Linked DNA regions of Mus musculus: regions 2, 3, 4, 5, 6 and 7 are each reported to be linked to region 1. Evidence: microRNA targets listed by miRTarBase, many of them from high-throughput screens and not tested one by one. Region 1 holds a microRNA gene; each other region holds the end of a gene's coding sequence.

Evidence for each region. The annotated mature microRNA mmu-miR-425-5p reads AAUGACACGAUCACUCCCGUUGA and lies in region 1 at 1,529-1,551, opposite strand. An mRNA with a match to its seed (bases 2 to 7 or 8) in the 3' UTR can be bound and repressed. Matches are read on the target gene's strand: a 7mer-m8 pairs with bases 2 to 8, a 7mer-A1 pairs with bases 2 to 7 and ends in A, and an 8mer does both.
Region 2: the mRNA of Sestd1 is a reported target of mmu-miR-425-5p. Seed matches in the 3' UTR shown: 7mer-A1 at 1,598-1,604.
Region 3: miRTarBase lists Atp5g3 as a target of mmu-miR-425-5p. Seed matches in the 3' UTR shown: 7mer-m8 at 2,699-2,705.
Region 4: the mRNA of Mysm1 is a reported target of mmu-miR-425-5p. The part of its 3' UTR that is shown has no 7-base or 8-base seed match.
Region 5: the mRNA of Grk2 is a reported target of mmu-miR-425-5p. The part of its 3' UTR that is shown has no 7-base or 8-base seed match.
Region 6: the mRNA of Zdhhc2 is a reported target of mmu-miR-425-5p. The part of its 3' UTR that is shown has no 7-base or 8-base seed match.
Region 7: the mRNA of Fmn2 is a reported target of mmu-miR-425-5p. The part of its 3' UTR that is shown has no 7-base or 8-base seed match.

The regions. Positions count from the first base shown.
Region 1 is chr9:108,567,258-108,570,339 of GRCm38, reverse strand. Mir425 (microRNA 425) reads right to left here and starts at 1,563; the gene lies at 1,479-1,563. Ndufaf3 (NADH:ubiquinone oxidoreductase complex assembly factor 3) reads left to right here and starts at 2,904. Exons shown (of 5, transcript NM_023247.2): 1 at 2,904-3,082. It overlaps Dalrd3 (DALR anticodon binding domain containing 3), which reads right to left and starts at 448. Exons shown (of 12, transcript NM_026378.3): 1 at 265-448; 2 at 1-190. The coding sequence starts at 429. Mir191 (microRNA 191) reads right to left here and starts at 2,021; the gene lies at 1,948-2,021.
Region 2 is chr2:77,184,606-77,187,687 of GRCm38, reverse strand. Sestd1 (SEC14 and spectrin domains 1) reads left to right here. Exons shown (of 18, transcript NM_175465.6): 18 at 428-3,082. The coding sequence ends at 557. Among named protein-coding and RNA genes, the nearest start is that of Ccdc141, 16 kb to the right of the region's middle.
Region 3 is chr2:73,905,799-73,908,866 of GRCm38, forward strand. Atp5g3 (ATP synthase, H+ transporting, mitochondrial F0 complex, subunit C3 (subunit 9)) reads right to left here. Exons shown (of 5, transcript NM_175015.3): 5 at 2,649-2,909. The coding sequence ends at 2,795. Among named protein-coding and RNA genes, the nearest start is that of Atp5g3, 4.0 kb to the right of the region's middle.
Region 4 is chr4:94,944,508-94,947,589 of GRCm38, reverse strand. Mysm1 (myb-like, SWIRM and MPN domains 1) reads left to right here. Exons shown (of 20, transcript NM_177239.3): 20 at 467-3,082. The coding sequence ends at 625. Among named protein-coding and RNA genes, the nearest start is that of Eqtn, 17 kb to the right of the region's middle.
Region 5 is chr19:4,284,376-4,287,457 of GRCm38, reverse strand. Grk2 (G protein-coupled receptor kinase 2) reads left to right here. Exons shown (of 21, transcript NM_001290818.1): 20 at 1-105; 21 at 194-1,459. The coding sequence ends at 358. Among named protein-coding and RNA genes, the nearest start is that of Ankrd13d, 2.8 kb to the right of the region's middle.
Region 6 is chr8:40,474,200-40,477,281 of GRCm38, reverse strand. It overlaps Zdhhc2 (zinc finger, DHHC domain containing 2), which reads right to left. Exons shown (of 13, transcript NM_178395.4): 12 at 2,475-2,547. The coding sequence ends at 2,507. Among named protein-coding and RNA genes, the nearest start is that of Cnot7, 36 kb to the left of the region's middle.
Region 7 is chr1:174,820,591-174,823,672 of GRCm38, reverse strand. It overlaps Fmn2 (formin 2), which reads right to left. Exons shown (of 18, transcript NM_019445.2): 18 at 944-2,454. The coding sequence ends at 2,428. Among named protein-coding and RNA genes, the nearest start is that of Gm51689, 65 kb to the right of the region's middle.

The DNA of each region.
Region 1 (3,082 bases):
CAACTCGCGGGCCTGGTGAGGCAGGTTTGGCGGGAGTAGCATAGGAGGCCAGGGCACCGAGTACATGTTCGAAGACAGCGGGCCGCTGTAGTTGGAGCGATAAACCCGCGGGTGTCGGCGCGCAGCGCAGTACAGGGGCCACTCCGGGACCCTGCAGGCAGGAGACCGCACGGAACACGCACTCTGGCACCTGCAGGCAGATGTGTGTAAGTGGGCCGTAGTTCCGTGGATCCCGCTAGGCATGCCCCACAGGAGCGCACCCACCTGGCCGTCCCTGAAGCGCGCCTGTAGCGCGCTTCGCGGTGCCAAGAAGTCTCGAACACGAAGGTGCCGGGCATGGGTTTCCTTAAACCACACTGGGCTACCAGGCCCTACAGCTGCATTAAGGGCCTCCAGCGTCTCGCCAACCCCAAGGCGCCCGGTCGCCATGGCGACCGGAAGACTAAATGGAACAGGAAGTAAGTTATCCGTAGAGCTTCCGGGAGGTCCGCCTGGCGGGGGCGGGGATCCGGCCGTGGACTCTCCTGAATGGACCAGAGCGATCGAGCATGCCAAGTGAGCTTACATTCTACCCACGCCTCCAGCTCTCCCTCCCGATGGCCTTTCCTGTATTCATGAGCCCTAACCTCCAAATTTGAGGGTCCATTTTTCCTCCTTTTTAAAAAAATCGTCACCCCGAATTATTACTTTGATAACGGATCTTTGTTACCAGGCAAGACACTTTGCCACCAAAGTTTCACATCTTTGTGTTTATGTCTCTTTTTTCTTTTTCTGCCCCATTTAAACAAATTAAAGGCCAGACGCACGAGACGAAATGTCAAAGGAATAAGGCTGTACCATTAATGACACTTTGTTTTTCAAGACAGGGTTTCACTGTGTAGCCATGGCTGTCCTGGAACTCTTTGTAGACCAGAAAGTCCTTGAACTCAGAAATCCACCTGCCTCTGCCTCCTGAGTACTGGGATTAAAGGTGTGTGCCACCACTCGTGTCTTCCATTAAAGACTCTTTACCGCCTACTTGGAAAAGTAACGAAACAAAGCAAAATTTGAGTTCTGATTATTGGTACGCCTTTCCTCGGCTGCGGTATGGAATGTCTTTATTCCCAGTAAAAGCCCAATCGGATAGAATTGCCCATCTTGATACCCGAGGAATTAGTCATCATGATTCCAGGATTACCAGCCTTTAATGTTTTTCCTTTAAACTGGTGTTACCGGCACCTTTGGTTCTTTAGGCAACTGGTCAGTTTAAGACAAATGTGATGATGAGAAGACCCAAATAAGCAGAGCTCTCAGGTAGAGCAAGCTGCAGGTGAGCTTTTCTATGTCCAAACTCTTTCGTTTCCAAGTAACGTGAAACTCCACTTCCCCCAGTAATGAATGAATCCAACCGGTGAACTTTGCTCCGGAGAGGAGTGACATCTAGAGATAGGAAAAGTTCGGGAAGGCCGGGGCTATGAGGCCCTGTTTGGGAGGTGCCGAAAGAGCACTGGGCGGACACGACATTCCCGATGGCTTCTTGGGTGCCCACTCAACGGGAGTGATCGTGTCATTCCAAAGCACTTTCCATGCTGTGGTGTGGGTTCAGCTGCTAGCAGGGCTGGGACCCACCAGCAAGTTGGTGATTTTAGCTACTCTCCCTCCATGAAGACGGTTGGGGTGGGTTTTCCCCAGGAAGTGAAGATCTATCTTTAGCGAGCTGCGGGCTGGGCGGCCTTGTGGGACTCACCGCCATTGCGGCCCTTCAGAGAGAGGACCCAGGACCTCCCTGGTCAGAGTTCTCCAGGGATTCCAGACAGGGCCATCAGCCCGAGCTTTTTTCGTCGCCTCTGACTGCCACCATCAGTCTGGGGGTGCACCTGAGAGATGGAGATCAGAATGGCCCAGTAGTGTAGTGTTTCTGAGAATAGAGACCACATTATCTGGGCCAGGGCGCTGCTCAGGCAGGAGAGCAGGGAACGAAATCCAAGTGCAGCTGGAATGCTCTGGAGACAACAGCTGCTTTTGGGATTCCGTTGCCCGCTGTCCAGCCATTGGAGGAGGGCTCTTGCTCCCAGGTCACTCGCCCTGAGGCCAAACCGGAACCCGCCCATCCCTTCCCAGTGGGCTGAGTAGGAAGGAGTAGGTGTTTTAAACCAGTCTAGTGAGAATGAGACGCTCACCTGGGCCCCAGAACAATAGAAGGTGGGGGCATCCCCCGGGACGAGGTCCTGATCCGGATTAGATCAGAAGGGCTGGATTAGCCCTGTGAGTCCCAAGCAGGAGCCACTTGTACCGGGCAGGCTTCGGAATCCGTCAAGAGGGAAGCGATTCCGTGAGACCCGAGAGGAAGTAAACCCATGTGTCCACTTCTGGGACTCCCCAAAGCTTAGGACCTTTTGTCTGGTGACGGTGCCAGCTCATGAAGTGCCAGGGGCCAAACTGGCCCACATAGCAGCGGCAGGACAGCCTCCCCCCAAGCCCATTGCAACCGGCCCTGCAAAGAACCCCACAGCCAAGCCCCATTTGTGTCAAGCATCCCACCCGTCTAGTCCAGCGGATAGAGAACGCGACAAAGTTCCTCTGAGGCCAGGACAGAACCGGTGCGCAGAGATGCCCATGCCGCGGGACGCCAAGGACTCATGCGCCAGTAGGCCCTAGACTCAGCTCAAGACAGGGGGAGGGAGACTCTCGGTACGCGCGCGCAGAGCGCGCAAGGGCGGGGTGGTGCTCCAGGCGCGGTCTACTTCACGTCTGGTCCGGTTTGGCCCAGTCAGTCCCACTCGAACAGCTACTCCAGCACTGCCACGGCGTGCCCTTCCGCTGGCTCTAGCTGTCCCCAGACTTGGAGCCATTTTAAGGAGAAACCATCTGGCCACACCCCCTCGCGCTGCCGGGAAGCCAATCCATGCTCGGCCACGCCTCTCATGGAGCGCTGCGCCGTCGCCAACGGTCGCGCTGGTGACGGTTGGGGAAAGCAGCGATTTCGAGACTAGCTAGGGAAATTTTAGCCATCTGCCCCGCCCCCGGAGCCCGATTCTCCAAAGCCTGGGATTAAGGGCCTGGAGGCTGGCACCACACCCTGGCCAGGTGTTCATAACAGGAC
Region 2 (3,082 bases), not on the chromosome of region 1:
GGGATAATTGTGGTTTTTCAGGTTACAGCAGTGGGGGCTTCCTAGAGCCAAACAGATAGACAGAACTTAAATGAGACACAAGGGACATACTGCTATGTCATGAACTTCCAGTGAGTATTTAGAATTCATATTGAAAAAAAAATTACCACTTTATTCCCTTGGAAGAATATCATTCATAGTCTACACTGAGAAAATCTCTAGGGATACCTGGATTTGAACTGTCAAAGTAGCTTAGTGTCATATGATTTACCGGCAGCAAAAGAGCAACCCCAGCAGAACGGGTTTATAGGTACAAGTCACTGTGCCCCAGATGAACTAGTTTGAACTCAAAGGTCATGTCATATTTTATAACATCTGCTTTTATGCACCTGGTACAGTTAAATGAATTTGGATTAACCTGTGTGATTTCTGTGTGTTCTAATTTTAGAACTGAACAATATTTTGGAAGTCCAAGTGACATGGCTTCTACTGCAGAGCACATCAGGGACAGAATGAAACTGGTCAGTCTCAAAAGGCAGCAGCTGAGACATCCCGAATTGGTGACCACGGAGAGCTAATGTCCCCAGCTCCCGCAGATCTGCAGGTCATACGCCCACATTCTTTGCTGCTGGCATTCTCTGGGGTTAGCCACAGCTCGTTAAGATGCATTTCACAGCGGGATAAGCCTCCTTTCTTCCCACGACACGTGTCTCTCTCTAAATGCTAACATTTCTCCACCACCAAGGCATAGTCACAACATGCTTTGAGACTGTAGACTCCTGGTATCCTAAGAGAAGGAATTGTAACCACCGCACTGAGTCCTCGCTTTCACGCCGTACCTGACTTGTCAGTTTGTAGCCAAACAACCAATACTAAGCTTTGAATGGTGCTAATCAGAGTTTAGGAATTCTCTATAAAACATGGCTGCCCTTCCTCCCCAGGTGATGTAGGATATTTAGACCATAGTTAGACTGTTAGTGAATAGTGGTGTCCTCAAAATTTTACTTTGTAATTCTTCAAAATTGATTATTTTTAATGTCTATATGAAGAAAACCCTTCAGATCTTTGATATATCATATTCATTGAAAGACATTTTCCTATTGTATTCATAATGTATTAAAAGTTGTTTGTGCTTAATAAAAATCTTCTTTAAACATCTTATTTAATTTGGTAGTTACGTCCTGCTTCTAAACACGAGTGCCTTACTAACGGGGCATTCTTAGAATTGTAAGGAGGGTTAATCATTGTTTGTGATGGTGGATGCATGTATTTTAGGCAAGAATTTCATATGTATGCATGTGTATATAATAAAAAACAAGCATGTTTATTGTGAAGAATAATTTAGACCATTAAGAACATAATAATAGAATACTATTTTAAACTTTTCTCTTGAAAAATGGTGTCCAGAATATTAGCTCCCCTGAAGACACTTTGTCTGTGGGGAAGGAGGGCTAAAGATGAAGGTATACATACTCAATGTAATCTTTTATATCACAGCAATCACTCTGGAACTAAAGCAGAAATTGTTAATAATATTTAATATCTCATGGTATTAGAGGCAAAAAAATCATCCTGAAGTATAGTCACAAAAACTGTATAGATCTTTAGAAATAAAATTTGTCATAAAATGGTAATGCTTTTATGTTTGTATTAAGTTATAAAATGTATATACTTTAACATTGTGTTAATTTTAATTTTAGAATATATTTTAAGGTGAAAATAACTGGGCTTATCAGTACAAAATTATGCAAAGAATCGTATGCAGGTTTATTTTTCTGGTCTGTAAAGACGATCACGTACCTTCCTATGTTCAAGCCAGTTTCTCCAGCCTTCTTTTTTGCCAGCCTTGATGAATTTCATCATCCTCACCCTCACCCTGTGTCACCTTTCAGTCAGCTTTGCGCCTCACTTTACAGGAAACGGCCATAGTCTTCTGGGTCCCGCATTGAATGTTTTTGCTCTCTGACACGTCACCTTCCTTTCGCTCCGTTTCTAGTCTCTCCCTAACAGTGCTCCATCCCTCAGTGGTGCTCTCTCCTGCCATGTGAGGGCATGGTTTAGGTCTGTTGCACATGCACACTGTGCTGCTGTCCTCAGCTCTTGCTCATTGGGCATCCCATCCCTAGTCCTGCATTTCACGTCCGATCCCAATTGCATAGCTTTCAGCTGACTCGGTCCTCTCCCCTAAATGAAAGCATATCCTACTTGCCTTTTCTTCCTGAGTAGTTTTGATTAATGGTGCCAACAATGTCCAGGGCAAACCTCAGCTGTTCCCCATGTCTTACTCTGCCTCTGAGACCATCCAGAAGTCTTTTCTATACTTGATAACCCTTCTTCAGGGCTCGCCTCCTGTGCATAGGAGCTCCTGTGATTCTTTCTTCAGTCTTCATGATGGTGCTAACTTTTCCTGTTACATCATAAAGTCCTCTTGGGGGTGACTCTTGTCCCACATGTCTTGTGCCTAGACCTTTGCTCATGTGTGACATGCTCAGTCCTACAGCTGTGTTCCTTTGTCAGCGTTAGTAATAATCTCTCCACTACTGCAGTCTGAGGTCTATTTAAACAGTGTTTGGCTTTTCCTAGCGTTAGAACTGACTTGTAAATCTGTGTCCATGGAATGTGTCTGATGTTTTAGATCCTTAGATGTGGAACTTTTAGATATTGTTTATATTCAGTATCAGTCTCTTTTTACTGAGTTTCAGCATCATCAGTATCTTTATTTGACTTGGTAATTATGCCATCAGCTCATGGATGCATAATTTCAATTTAATTTTCATATATCTTAAGCCCTCTTCCCTGCAAAAAGTGGAATAAGACAAACCATGGAAATGCCATGTCGGACTTGAAAGTTAAATGGAACGAGATACACAGAATGGACATAGTCGCTCTTCTTTGGCAAATGTGGACCCCTTTTCCATGGGTTTATCTTTATAGATACACAAGAGTTATGAATAAAAACCGAGCAATGCCCAAACTGACTTTCCTCATGTGGTCACAGTTCACTTAGAGGACATATGAAGGAGGTGACTTCGGTTTGTGTGAAATCTCAGGCCTTTGTTATATTAATACTGACATTGACCTAAAAATGTCATTAAAAAGAAAT
Region 3 (3,068 bases), not on the chromosome of region 1:
ATTCACAGCTTTTAGGCACACTGCATTGGTCCTCTCTATACAGGACCAAGTCTACTTCTAAGATTCTCATATTTAAAATTATACAAAAATCAAAATTCTTTATTTCCCCAAATTAATTTCTCTTTGGCATCCTGGACATAATCATATTGAAAACCCTAGCATGGGTTCTGAAACCCAGGGAGTTATGAACTCAGATCTGGGTACTACCAAACAATGGCCAAATAATTTGGGAAATGAACTGATTTTTCCTAATTTTGCAGGCTTGTTTTGAGTATTGACAGTATATGTGTGAAGCCTTTCTTCTCAGGAGTAGTAGGGAATAGACACCCTTGTCTTTTCTGACTGGCCCTAGAGATCTAGGCAGGTCCCAATACTTTTAGAGATTCCTTTCTTTTCTCTCTTTCTTTCTTCCTTCCTTCCTTTCTTTTTTTTTTTTTTTTCTTTCTTCCTTTCTTTTCCTTTTTAAGATTTATTCATTTATTTTATGCATGAGTACACCACCATTGCTCTCTTCAGACACACCAGAAGAGGGCACCAGACCCCATTATGGATGGTTGGGAGCCACCATGTGGTTGCTGGGAATTGAACTCAGGTCCTTCAGAAGAGCAGTCAGTGCTCTTAACCGCTGAGTCATCTCTCCAGCCCTGAAATTTTCTTTTTAAGAATTATTTTTAAAATTAAAAAAAATTAGGGCTGGAGAGATGGCTGGGCTGGAGAGATGGCTCAGAGGTTAAGAGCACTGACTGCTCTTCTGAAGGTCCTGAGTTCAAATCCCAGCAACCACATGGTGGCTCACAACCATCAGTAATGAAATCTGATTCCCTCTTCTGGAGTGTGTGAGGACAGCTACAGTGTACTTACATATAATAAATAAAGTCACCCAAGTGAAAAAAAAAATTAATCTTATGTGTATGTACTTTTGCCTGTGTGTATATGTGCACCACATGTGTGCCTGGTGTGGGCAAAAGTCAGAAGAGGACTCAAATCTCCTGGAGCTAGAGCTACAGATGGTTGTGAGCACCCAACTGAGGCTGGGAATAGTGCTCCAGTCCTCTGCAACAGTAGTAAGTGCTCTCATCCACAAAGCCATCTCTCCAGTCCTGTGAAGTTCCTTTATAATTATCGTGGCCACCATCCTAGACTAAGGCCTCTGTGTCTAACAGTTTCCTTGGGGACTGCAACATTCCATCCTGTAGGGAAGTTTCTTAAGCATGAAGGTAAACTCACAAGCTGCAGTGTGCTCTAGGTTTCTAGATTTGTGAGCTGTCATGGGTGCCAGAGTGGGCTTTGGTGATGCGGCTGCCTTTGAGACATCTCTGCTACAGTAACCCCTCACTCATATACGTGTAAATAATCCCAATAAAACTCATTGGTTCAACTTAGGGTTTGGTAGTATCCATACTTGTTTTGCCATGGGTCCCTTACCTGCCATTTCCCCAGGAAATTTCTTGCCACACAACATCCTATTTATCACTAGAAGATCTGCTGTGGTAGCCACTGGTACTGCTGACTTCAAGCCATTCCACACTGGTCTTTTTCTGACCATTCTGGAACTCTAAACTAAGCTGGCCTTCAACTCAGAGATCCAGAGGCCTCTCCCTCCCAGACTAAAGACACGCACAAGCACCAGACCACCTTGGTCTCCTTAAATAATTCTAAACATAGCTCCAAGGGGTTTTGTTTTTGTTTTTTCGAGACAGGGTTTCTCTAGCCCTAGCTGTCCTAGAACTCACTTTGTAGACCAGGCTGGCCTCGAGCTCAGAAATCCGCTTGCCTCTGCCTCCCAAGTGCTGGGATTAAAGGCGTGGGCCACCATGCCCCGCTGTCTGTGATCACATGATAAAACTCATTTATCTGCTAATTTGTGCATTTGTGTGCCAGCCTACCTTTCACCTGTAGCTCACACTGTTTCCTGGCAATGTTTCATGTGCCAGTGCTCTTCTGTTTTTAAGTCTGCAGTTGAGCCACTCACTAGGTGGTCCTCTTGCTACTCAAGGTTTAGCATAAGGTGGAGACAAGCAGTGTTCTCAAGTGATCTCTTCCCTGGAAAATGACTCCCAGCCCTTCCAAACATCTCTGTATGCTTACTCATAACAGTAGGAAACTCACCTACTGGTTTTCTTTCTTTTTTTTCTTATTTTTGGTTTTCGAGACAGGGTTTCTCTATGTAGCCCTGGCTGTCCTGGAACTCACTGTGTAGACTTTGTAGACCAGGCTGGCCTCGAACTCAGAAATCCGCCTGCCTCTGCTTCCCAAGTGCTGGGATTAAAGGCGTGCGCCACCATGCCTGGTTTATGGTAACCATGTAATGAGATGGTTTTGTGCATTTATAACCTTGTTCAAGCACCAATCACCCAAAATGAAACTCCACAACTAACAGTCAGTCACCCACAGTTCCATGCTCCTAGAGTTCCCAATAACTTCTAATTGGCCTAGTCTCTACAAAGTTACCTATTTTATACAAACAAAATCACACTATGGGTCTTTTGCTTGGTCTACTTCACTAAGTGTTTTTCAATGTTTCATATTCATCACTTTTTCAAAACCAGGGTAACTGCTGTACCTTCCTCTGACTTGGACAACCACCTACCTCAACAGATCATCTTTATGATGATCCACACTTATATAAGTACAAATCACAGCAAGAATTAAAGTTTTCATCTTTAATGAAATGACTGTGGAAATAACATATATTTCCATGACACCAGTACTACAGTCTTCGGAGTCACAGCAAGATACACAGAATTACATCCGTAATTACTATGAATGCCAACATTTCAGGCAGTAATTTCTGTTACATGGCAAACAAGATCAAGAACGCAACCATCAAACAAAAGAGACCCATAGCTTCAGACAAGGCAAATCCCAGGATAGCATATGAGAACAGCTGCTGCTTCAGTGAAGGGTTTCTAAAAGAGACACAACACAGATGACTGTTACTGTGAAGCAACGTTGATGTCAGCACATTGGGTAAATGGTAGAGTCAGATATCTAGTATGGGGATCTTTGCAAGTCTCATGGGGGTGCTATCTCCTATACCACTTTGCTTTTGTCTCTCAGAGTATTTT
Region 4 (3,082 bases), not on the chromosome of region 1:
TATTGAAAGACCAATGTGTGCATTCCCAGAAAACTGCCCATGCGCTATGTACTGAGTGCTCGTTTTGTTCCTTTGGTTGTGATGGGCTCCGATTTGAACCTTGCACACTGTCTGGGCCCTGTGCTTCATCCCTAAACCCACAGGCTTACGTGCTTGGTTGTTTGCATTGTTTGTTTTTAAAACTTTAGAGATAATTTGTCTCTGTAAATGTAACTGCTAAAAGGGCCAAAATCACAGATTTGTACAAAGTGAGGAGAATTCCTTGCGCATGGTTTATTTCCTGCGGAGTTGTTAGGGAGCTAAATGTACCTTCACCAGTGATTCCAGTGCCCTCGTCTGAGATTTGTGAGGACAGTGTTTCTCATTTGGGTATTAAGAAATCTGGGGTTTAAAAAGAAATAGTGACAGTTATGCAAGCCCTCTTAATACTTAAATATTTAAATATAAAACTTTTCTTTTTTACTAGCTTTTGGAGTGTCTAAGGAAAACACTGAGCAAAGTAGCCAATTGCTTCATCGCTGAGGAGTTCTTGACTCAAATAGAAAATCTGTTCCTTTCCAATTACAAAAGCAAGGAAGAGAATGGACTGGCAGAAGAGGATAGTACAAAGGAATTGTTCATGTAATTATTTTAAAGTAAGATGTTCTAATCTTGGCATGCTACTGTAAATAATTGAGATTTTAAAGCAATATAAATTATGTTTTTTTTTTAATCCATAAAACTCTAAACTTTCTCACATAGATAATGTGAGAAGGAAGAGAGAGCCCTTGTTCTCATAGTGGTAATCAAGAGTGGTAGAGCCCTGCCTATGCTAAGCTGTGCAGTGGGCATGAAAGCTTGAGCTCTGCTCTGCCTCGTGGTGTGCGGCTTAATAACTAGGAGATGACCGAGCTCCGCTTTTTCTCAGAGGGACTGTTTCTCACTTTGCCATCTCATTACACACACTTTCTTCCCATATGTTCTGGTGGTGAGATTGTGTGTGTGTGTGTGTGTGTTATTTGGATGTTGCAGCCTAGGTGTGGAACATTAATGGGGTTGAGAACTACTGACTAATAAATCTAACAGCATGCCAACACAGCAAAAGGGAGCATCCTTAGTAATGTTCAGACAGGAGTCCAAAGGGGAGAAGAACCAATTTTCAGTCTGCGGTGTGTGCTTCATCTTACTGTGTACACTATACCATAGGACAGTCAGCCTCCTCTGCGATTTAAATGTTTAAATGAATTTCACAAGGGAAATAATTAGCTCCAACTCTGTCCAATTGCAGTAGCATGTGACAAAATGTCATTGAACTAGACTTGGTAATGTAGCCCTCAACCTAGCTTTTTTCCCTACTGTCAGGAGAAAGAGAAAAATGAGTCACATATTACAATAGAAAAAAAAATGCCATCTGGTATTTTACATAGCTTAACCCAGTTTCATGCACTTGCTGAATATTAAAAGTAAACTTTTTTCATGTTGTAAATTCAAATTGTTCATGTAAGTATTAGTGAATATTTCTGCTTGCTGGAGAACTGGTGTTTGACCCTGTCCAGGCCTTCTTATTGGCAACAGTTTTGTTATATTGAAACTGAATGTGAGTTTAGAGTTTTCTTTTTTCTTTTTTTTTTTTTTTTTTTTTGCTGTAGTTGTAGCCAAAGGGGGAGGCAGCACTGGATGGAGTGACTGCAGTCATAGGTGACCTGAATCTGATTTGGGCACTGTGATTTAAAGAAAAGGCGTTTGCTTTCTCTAGGCCAAGTTTGTCTTATGTAGCTGAGGCTAATCCAGCCCTGAGTGTTGCTCCTACTCTGATTTATCTGCTGGCTTGTTAGGCTGCACTTTTGGAACTTTATAAGATCGTGTAATTGCAAAATTAATGTGTAGCTTTAAAAGAGAACTAGCAGTTTTTCCATTTCCCTCTGTACATTTAATACGAACAATGAAACATACTTTGTAAAATCCTCTTGAAATCTGGAAGTGCAAGGACTCCAGAGCAAAAATCAGGAATCCTGAGCTCTCAACCTAATCTGCTTAAGCTTTGGTAAGGGGCCTCGCTCCACGCTCAGCTCTCTAAACTCATCAGTTGAGATTCAAAGAGCTGAATTCTATCACTTGTTGTCTCTTCAAGCACACAAGGCTACAAAAGTCAGTAGCAATTAATTCATTCCTTTCTGTTTTCCTTCCTCTTCACCTGTCTCTTCATAGGCTGTTGGCACAGACCTGAAATGGATGATAATTTACTTTCTTGCAATTTTCCTAGAATGCTGTTGAATTTTAAAAAGTTCTTTCTCAAATCTGGACTTTACACATGCCAGTGGTTAAGAGTATTCACTACCCTGATCTATACATTGTAAGGACCCAACGGGTGCCAATAGTCAGAGTGTAGGGCCTTGAGAACAGAAGTTTTTAAGCAACTATTGAGAAAATACAACTATTTTCTGACTGTAGAATATATTTGTAATTTATCTTATGAAATATTTTTAAATACAGTGAAATATATACAAAGTGCAAGTATCTCAAACCTACTGTTGAGGAAATATTTTACATAGGAATCAGATTCTTAACCAGTTTTTAACAGCATAAATTCAGGATATTCAGTTATTGTTTGTCTGCTTTTGTTTTCTGTCTGTTCTCTGTGCTGCCTTCTCTTCTCTTGTCCTAGTGTCTACTTGCTCTGGCAGCTGTAGGTGGCCAACCTAGGCCTCCTGAGACTGGTTAGAGCCAAGACCTTAAAGAAGCACAGATGAGTCTGGAACTTGAGGGGACATGTAACACAGAAGTTCATGGAGAGAGAGAGAGAGAGAGAGACAGAGACAGAGACAGAGAGAGACAGACAGAGACCGCCCTTCCCAACAGTGTTTGCAGAAGTGGAGGACCAGCAATGCCTGAGTCTCTTTATCCTGGGTTCTATTTTTATTGGTGCATAAAAATAGAAATTGAGCTTAAATTTTGTCTCTTATTCTGACATGGTTAAGGACACTTAATAATAGTACTTCTCTTATATTAGACTTACTGTTCTTCAAAACTAATACTCAAGAAAGCAAAATCAGTGGAACAAGACCAGTAAGGTAAAACTCGCTGGCCATTGTTTAACCTTGGC
Region 5 (3,082 bases), not on the chromosome of region 1:
CTGACCATGGAGGAGATCCAGTCAGTGGAAGAGACACAGATCAAGGAACGCAAGTGTCTCCTGCTTAAGATCCGAGGTGGCAAGCAGTTTGTCCTGCAGTGTGATGTAAGTGGGGGTGAGGGGATGAGGTTAGGGTACAGGTGGGGGGTGGGTGCCTGACCAGCAGAGGCTGACAGAGCCTGGATGTTTACAGAGTGATCCAGAGCTGGTGCAATGGAAAAAGGAGCTGCGTGATGCCTACCGCGAGGCCCAGCAGCTGGTACAGCGAGTACCCAAGATGAAGAACAAGCCACGCTCGCCTGTGGTGGAGCTGAGCAAGGTGCCGCTGATCCAGCGTGGCAGTGCCAACGGCCTCTGATCCACCCATGTGCTGCCCGCCTGCCCACCCGCCTTTTATAAACCTCTAATTTATTTTGTTGAATTTTTATTATTTGTTTTCCCGCAAAGCGGAAAATGTTTTATTTTGTAATTATTGTGATCTCCTGTGGCCCCAGCCTGGCCCAGCCCCCAGGGAGGGGCCCGCTTGCCTCAGCTCCTGCTGCCACCAACCCAGCCACTGTCTAGCACCCCTCCCCTGTCCCCACTCCCACCCCCTAGGGTCCTTGCTCCCAGTATCTTCCTACAGGGAAGAAGAGCAACCCTCAGCAGCCCTCTTGCCCCTCCATGGGGTGAAGCCACACTCAGTGGGTGTGTCACTTCAGGCTCTGTGGGCTGTGCTCAGTCTGTGGCCCAGCACCCCTGCCCTAGAAAGGGGCAACACAGGGTACTACTTGAACTTTCCTATCACAGCTCCCATGCCACAGAGGGACAGACCCCTGCTGTCCTGCCCTCTTGCCACTGGTGAGAGAAGGCCCTTGTCTCCTCAGACTAGGAGGTCTCCCACAGTGACAGCTCCTGGGTCCTTGTTCAGGAAAAGCCTGTGTGTTACCACTGCCTCATCAGGAGGCTGCCATTGGCAGTGGCTGCTGCTGGCCTCCCTGCAAGTCCCCTCTTCTTCCTGTTGCGTGCCTGGACTCAGGAGCATAGAAAAGACAATTGTGGATTGGGCCACACTGGCCTAGCCTGAACCTAGATCCCTAACCCTGGGCTGGGTGAGGCTCACCTGCCCAGGACCACAGTGGGACAGCCTGGGCAGGTGGGTGGCACAGCATAAGAACCCAGCTGGGGCCAGCCCTCCCTGTCCTGGCTGGTCAGTGTGCCCCCACCCACACTGTCCAGCCCCTTAGCCCATGTCATGTCAGTGGCCACTGCCCACAGGTGCCACCTTGCCCACCGCATGACCCCTTGTGCCAGTCGCGCAGCTGTGTGTGGTGTCGCGCCCTCTCCCCTTGGGGGCTGGGTGGGCACACCCTCCCCTCTTGTCTACTCACTCCTAGGGCGTTTCTTTGCCGATTTTTGAATGTGATTTTAAAGAGTGGAAAATGAGACTATGCGTTTTTATAAAAAATGGTGCCTGACTCCTCGCTGTCTCAGACTCTTTGTGCCTGGTGACTATTTTTCAGTCACTTCAGTCTGGGGCCTGAAAGGGGAGGAGCTTAGTAACCCGTCCTCCCCTCCCTGGTGGAGTAATTATTCCGCTCGCCTCCCACATAAGCAGGAGTAGCCGTAGTAGTTCTCGTCAGCTGTCATGGTTGGAATGGCTGGGGGTATACTGGTTTCAGCAAGTTGCCCCTGCACGTCAAGCACTGTGTTAATCCCCACTCCTCTCGGCACACATCTGTTTTCTCTTCCACACTGCATCTCTTGAGCCTTTGGCTGTGTCTGGCTGGCACTGGCCTCACTGTGTAAGCTCTCCTGGCCTCTGGCTTGAGCATCAGCATCAAGCCTGTGCTCCCAGGAATGACCTTCCTCTTCCTGTGCCCCTGCTCCAGGCCTGGCCAGAGACAGCCTGTGAGCACCACTGCCCTTCCTGTTCAGTGCACAGAGGAGGAGAGAATTCTGGGGCAGATGCTGTGAGGTCTTGGATGAAATGGCATTTGAGCTGTACCTCCAGCATTAGTGTAGTCATTCGTAGAGATGCTTCTAAGATCAGGAATGGTCAAGCACTTAAGACAGCAAACTGCAATGGAAGGAACCAGGCCTTGGGGCCCTGAAAGGCCAGCCTTAACTTAGCACAGTCCCAGATCACTCAGTGACTGCATCCTGGAGCGTTGAACAGACCGGGGGCTGAACTTGCTTGGCTCTGGGTGGTTAGCAGATGTTAGCCTCAGACTCACTGTGTAGCTAAGGATGGCCTTGAACTCCTCGCCCTTCTGCCCCCACTTCCCAAGTGCTGGAATTACAGGGGTTTGCTACCATGTCTAGCTAGGTCTCAAGTTTTAGGGCAGGCTGCAGTCATTAGAACTGGCTCTAAAACAAATAGCTGGTCACTGCAAGAAGTGGGGAGATAGGACCATTGCTTCTGTCCAGGAAAGATGTTCTTGTAATTGGTGATTGTGAAGGAAGAGGTGAAAGACGCCAGAGAGGAAAAAATGGAACAGTGTAGTAAGCCAGGCCACACTGAGGGAGCGTGTGAGGGAGGCCATGTTGTTGGTCAAGAGGTAAGGTGGAGCTGAACATGGCAGAGCACACATTTAATCCCAGCACTTTTGTGAGTTTGGGTCTAGTCTGGTCCTCAGAGAGAGAGTTCCTGGACAGTCTGGGCTAGTTAGTGAGACCCTGTCTCAAAAGACAAAACAACAAAAAAGAGGTGATGATAGCTCAGAGCACAGCTGGCCTGGAAGGAAGAGAGAAAGGCGTTTGGACTTGGCTTCTGACACCCTAATATGGCAGCATGGAATACCTAAGACCAGAGGTGTCCTGGAAGTGATATCAGATGGGAGTGGACAAGCTGTCAGCTAGGAGAGGGAGGTCCATGTGGAAAGAAGGGTCGATGTCAGAGCAGTAAAGACTGGCGGAGAGATGCTCAAGACTGCAGCAAGTCCTAGGCCGTCCAGGGCCAGGGTGACGATGCTGAGGAGGAAGTCTCTGACAGAAGCAGAGACCAGCAGGACCTAACTGCAGAGCTCTGGACCTTTAGAAGCTCAGGGCCTTGAGTTCCTCCCAAAGTCCAGACATCGTAGATGACCTGACCACAGCACAC
Region 6 (3,082 bases), not on the chromosome of region 1:
TTGAAGGAGAGCCTGAATAAGCTAATTCCCCTTCTTTATTCCCTGCTCCTGAGCAGCAGAAGCTAGTTAACAGAAGCCAATGGCTTTTGGATTTAGAATAGCAAAGAGTTCTAGACAGAAGAATTGCTAAAGGTAACCTTTGACCTTGCTCTTGACTCCATACTCCATTGCTTGGCTGCCTTCCTCAAAGAACTGGTGCAGAGGACTGAAATTTAATTTAAAAACTTTTCTGGCAATGGTTGTTACTTAAATGAGAAACACGTAGAAAATTACTTGGTGGTTTTTTGTTTGTTTTGTTTTTGTTTTTGTTTTTTAAAGGTGTGTGCAGTTGATTTTGCTGTGATTTGGCTATAAATACCAACTTTATATGTTCAAAGGTCATAGAATCAAGCTTCTGTTGGTTTTTAATTTTAATTGCTCAGTTACGACTCTATCAAATATTGAGATCCTACAAATGCTGCCTCTGTGAAATGTGTTTGGCACTGGTCAGTGTCAGAATATTAGAATACAAAGGAGACTTAGAAACAGCGTTGTCATTTAAACAAGTGGACTATTTATAAATATAGAGAAAATTCTGTACTAAAAATGGCCACTTAAATGATGGTAATTGTAACCAATGGTTTGAAATACTGAAAACAAATCTGGAGGACCCCATGTCTTACACAACTATGTTCTCTAAATTATTATTATTTTTAGATTATTTATTTTATGTATCTGAGCACAGTGTAGCTGTGTATTCTGACACACCGGAAGAGGGCTACAGATCCCATTATAGATGGTTGTGAGCTACCACATGCTTGCTGGAAATTGAACTTAGGACCTCTGGAAGAGCAGTCAGTGCTCTTCATCACTGAGCCATCTCTCCAGACCTATAAAATATATAAATTTTTTGCAGTATTAACTAGTACTTCATATTTTTCCACTCACAGGTCCATTCTTAGGATCTTTTCTTGAAATTAAGTAATACCTACTTGGAATTTAGTATGATTCAGAATATTCCATTTTCACCTTCCTAACTATAGCTATAATTAGTGTGATCTATTGTACTATCATATATTCAGAAGCGATCATGGCTTCCAAAAGCCAAAACACTATCAACTAGCAGCTTATAATTTAATTTGTATTCACTCCCCCCCTGCCCCCCCCCCCCAGACAGAGTCTCATTATGCAGCTCTGAACGACGTGGAGATCACTACTTAGCACAGGCTGGCCTTGACTCCACAAAGCTCTACCTGGCTCTGCTCCTGAGATTTTGGGATTAAATGAACAGGCCTCTACACCCTTCTGTATTTTACCCTTATTTACATTGTTATTCATCAAAACCAAGCAAAGAAAAATTTTAAAACATTCAATATTCATGTTGATACAAATTATTTTATTTTGGACAGCAATCCCATGTCTCTCTAAAAATGGAGGATTTTTAGAATGCAGTTTTTAAAATAAAAAGTTGTGTTTATAATTTTTAATGTGTAACTTGGCTATAATGAGCTTGTTCTTTGTTTACATGCTTTGAAGATAGGATCTTTCCATGTAGCCTCGGCTGGCCTAGAACTCCTTATACAGACTAGCTTGGCCATGACCTTGCAGCAATCTTTTCTCTTTTACTTACTGACTGCCAGGATTACAGGCATGCATACCATATATGGATATATTGTATCTATTCTAATGTTGCACATATAGGGAGAGAGCTGGCTTTTCTCTAGATGCACAGGTGTTTATTTCAAAGGCACTCTTTATTATCCCTTTGTGCTAACTACAGGTTTATAAACAAGATAGGATTTAAGGAATCTTATTGGAAAGCACAAGTTTACTTGTTACTATAATTTAAAGAAAACGAACAGGAACAACTATTAAAGAAGACCAACGATGAGTTCCAACAGTGAGTGACCCAAAATGGGGATGATGAAGCTTGTGCTGACAAGACTTAGTCATCTAGTACTTAGACCAAGTAAGAATCAGCTAATAGATGGTCAAAGATATGATGACAGTACCCTCAGACAATACCCTCAGTGAGAGGAAAGGTTAATTCTGGGATCCTGCAAAATGTAAGACAGTGCTTGTTTTAGGATCCATCCCTGTCACGTTTCCATGAACTAATTTTTTTTTTTTTTTTGGTTTTTCGAGACAGGGTTTCTCTGTGTAGCCCTGGCTGTCCTGGAACTCACTTTGTAGACCAGGCTGGCCTCGAACTCAGAAATCCGCCTGCCTCTGCCTCCCGAGTGCTGGGATTAAAGGCGTGTGCCACCACGCCCGGCCATCAACTAATTTTTATAGCTTGCCAAGTTAGCATAAATGCTGGCTGATACTGAAGCTAGGTCCATAATCCATGTCCAACATGACTCGTGGAATCCCGTTGGTCATGTAAGATACCTTCCAAGCCATTCAAAATAAATACTGCTCATGGAAACTATTAACTCTTTGAGACTAGGAAGCTGTTAAAAATAAAGTGTAACAATAAAATCAAAACATCTTACTTTACAAGAGTGGTTTTATTTTGATTGTAGAACTAAGTCTCGTTCTCCATAGTTAATGCAGGGTTGCTCATACCTTAAAAAACAAATTAAGATTTTTTTTGGACTTCTTTGAACAAATGGCAGGAAATTTCTACCTCTAAAGGCCCTCTATAATAATAACAAAAAGTTTTTTTATAATGTATTCATTTTTGATTTATAGAAACACATTAGACAATCATACACTATACAGTATTAGTTAAATCAATACTCTCTTCTCTCTTCTCTTCTCTCTCTCTCTCTCTCTCTCTCTCTCTCTCTCTCTCACACACACACACACACACACACACACACACACACACACACACACACACACACAGACCAGAGCAGGGGCAGTGAGGGAGGACAGAGCTAAGGAGGCAGGGGACCACAGGAAAGAAAGATGTGTGGGGAGCAGGCATTGCATCCACTTGATTTCCCAGCCTCTCCCCTCTCTTGCTGGATGAAAGCAGCATTTTTTTCTCCCTCCCTTCTCAAGTCCTTCCCACCTTCCTTACTTCACCCTTTAGCTTCTCAACTTAGCAGTCGAAAAACCGTAAAAAAATCAACCTAAATTGCCAAGTAATTAATAG
Region 7 (3,082 bases), not on the chromosome of region 1:
AAAGATACTGTGATGTTAATATTGAGTGCAAACTTGGCAGGTTCTGAGATCACCTAGGAGATAAATCTCTGAGCATGTCTTAGATGGGGCAAACTGGGGCAGAAATACCTACCCTTAAATATGAACAGCATTATTCCACTGGCTGAGGTTCTAGACTGAATAAAAAGGAGAAAATGAGCTGAGAACAGCACCAGCCCCTCTCCTTCTCTGCCCCCCTTCTTTTGATTCATGAATGTGAAAGCACTATGATCAGTCACCTTATGATCCTGCTACCCATGACTGTGTCCCTTTGAACTGTGAACCAAATCAACCACTTCTGCAAAAAGGGGTTTTGCTCAGGTATTTCTATCAAGGTAAATAAAACAAATCAAAACCAATACAGCTATCAAGGTAATTCATACCAGTTTTAAACTAAGACCCTCATGGTCTAGGAGGAAAATGAGAACACTTTCATACCAGTCGCAACTAATAATAGTGTTGGCAGTTGAATGAATGGAGACTCAAGAGAGAGTAAGATATAAAGAATGATTCCTGTACCTGAGGATGTAGGCTTTGTTTTCTGAGGAAGATAACACAGATGAATGAAATTTGGAGGGAGAAGATGACAAACTGAATCTGGTCTTGCATATAATAAATTTTACGGTATAGTATCACATTGGAAATTGATATTAGGACAGTAGAATGTTTGTCAGATCTCAGGAAAGAAAAAAACTGGGTGAAGAGTTAATATTTTATCAGGATTTCTGACTCAGGTAGCATGAGAGGCTTAAGTTCCAGAATCCTGAAACGATTGATATTTAGTTGATTTATTTCCTATCCCTAGTCCCTGGCAAAAGCTGAACACAATGTCTTTATTTTTTAAGTATATATATATATATATATATATATATATATATATATATATATACACACACATATGATATGCACACAGCTGACACAGAAATATTTTATTATTCATTTTATTTTCATATAAATTAACATCCTAAAAAATTGAAATAGAAACACTAAATACAGTATTGCACATAGCGATCTTTGTTAAATGCCCTATTACTTCATTGAAGAGTGGTATGTACACATTGGCAGGACTGTGGGACAGGAAAGCTACAAAACACCAGCAGAAGAAAATAAAACACTACTGTTTCTTTGCACTCAAAATACAAAGTAAAAGGCAAGAGATCATACTTTACATAAATACAAGTATAGCTATGATTTAGAACATTATTTTTAAGTTGCTGTCTGTAACTGGTTTGCAATAGCAATAATTTTTCCCCTTTTCTAAAACCATAACTCTCAACAAATATTATTAGCAGCAATTGAAAAGAACAACTATTAATGTTATATAAAACCATCTTAATCAATTGTGATCTGGCTTAAATAGGTTTGAAAGAATAGGAAATTTACCAATCTTTTCCTGACAGAGTGAATAAATTCCCTCCCTAGGGCCCTTTAGATGAGAAACGAATACATCATCCTCACATCATAGTGGTAGATCACCTGCTGTAACACATGATCACAACCCAGGCATGTCAAAATATGCAGACAGGTATTTTACTTAACACGGTCCTGATAAATCTGATCCATCTATTTTTTTTCTATTTTTTTTTTACAATAAGTGGTTGTCAAAAAATAAATTTGTCATGAACTTTACTTACTCAAATTTCTTGAAAATATTAAGTGAAGCTTGTGTATGTGTGTGAGAAAGAATGTATGTGTATGTGTATCGGTCCATGAGTGAGAAACTATGTGTGTGTGTGTGTAAGAGAGAGAATTGTGTGTATGTGTATGTGTGTGTGTGAGAGAGAGAGGGGGGTGGTTATTGCAGTGTTAGACATAGAGAAACATCCCATGATTTCTTTTACCTCTGCTGCAGACCAGTTTTTCATAGGGCTTCAAGGGAAATATCATAGAGAGCAACTTAAGCATGGGAGAGGTATGAATCATGACATATTGATGGTATTTACTTCTCAAATAGACACTGTATAAGCAGAAGTCAAGTAGATACAAAGAATTCACTAGGAACGAAGTTTACCCACAAGTCTAACCACATCGATGTGGAGTTCTGGTTGTCAGTAAAAAGGAAAATATTTTTGTTGCAACAAGAGAGAAACCATAGGCTAGGGCTCATCATGTTCAGAATTTATGCAGATAGTGCCTCTTAGACGTGCCACTTGGGTCTGTTGGTATAACACCACAATGTTTACAAAAAGGAAAGGTGTTCAATCTCCACAGGTCTACTGCTTTTGCCATTTTAAAGGCACATACAATAAATTTCAACAATCAACAAACTGCCTAGAAAACATGAAGATTATGCAAGAGGTTCAGAGGAAAAGGTCTAGGAGGATGGAGCTTCCTTCCCTCCTTCATGTCAGGTGGATGCTGCGCAAGTTGTTTCAATGTCTTGTTTTCTTCTGCTGTTCTGGTCACAGATCACGTTTTCATGCTTATCTTCGCTTTCTAAAAACAAAAACAAAAACATACACATGCAAAGGCATGAATACAGAATCAAAACCAGTGGATTGATTTCTTGGTTGAAATGTTTAAATTCTCTATCTCATAGCAGCATAATAAGTATTAGCTGATAATCATTCCTCTTATTCAATATGGCTTTATTAACCTTTTATCAGAAAGCAGCATCAGAAATTTACCATCAGATAAGGCTGATTTTGATACAGAAAAGCTGATGGGAAAATAAATTTTATCTGAGGATAGAGATATTTTCTAATCAGGGCTACTTAACCCTAAGGCAGTTTGAGTCATCTGTACTGTCTATTTTATCTAGACTATGTTATACTAAATCCAATTCACGGGGCTTCTTTTAGGCTGGAGAGATGGCTCAGCAGTTAAGTCATGCACTGTTTTTGTAGAGACCCAGAGTTCAGTTCCCAGAACCTATGTGAAGTCATTCACAAACTTTGAGACTCCAGTTCCAGAGGATCCAAAGCCCTCTCCTCACCTCTTCAGGTATCTGCATCCACAAATTCATACAGATCCATAAATACAATTTGAGTCAAAGATGAAAACAAATCTTAAAATGCTTCTATTTCATGTCCTAAATGTTCATCTAAACCAGCACTACTTACTT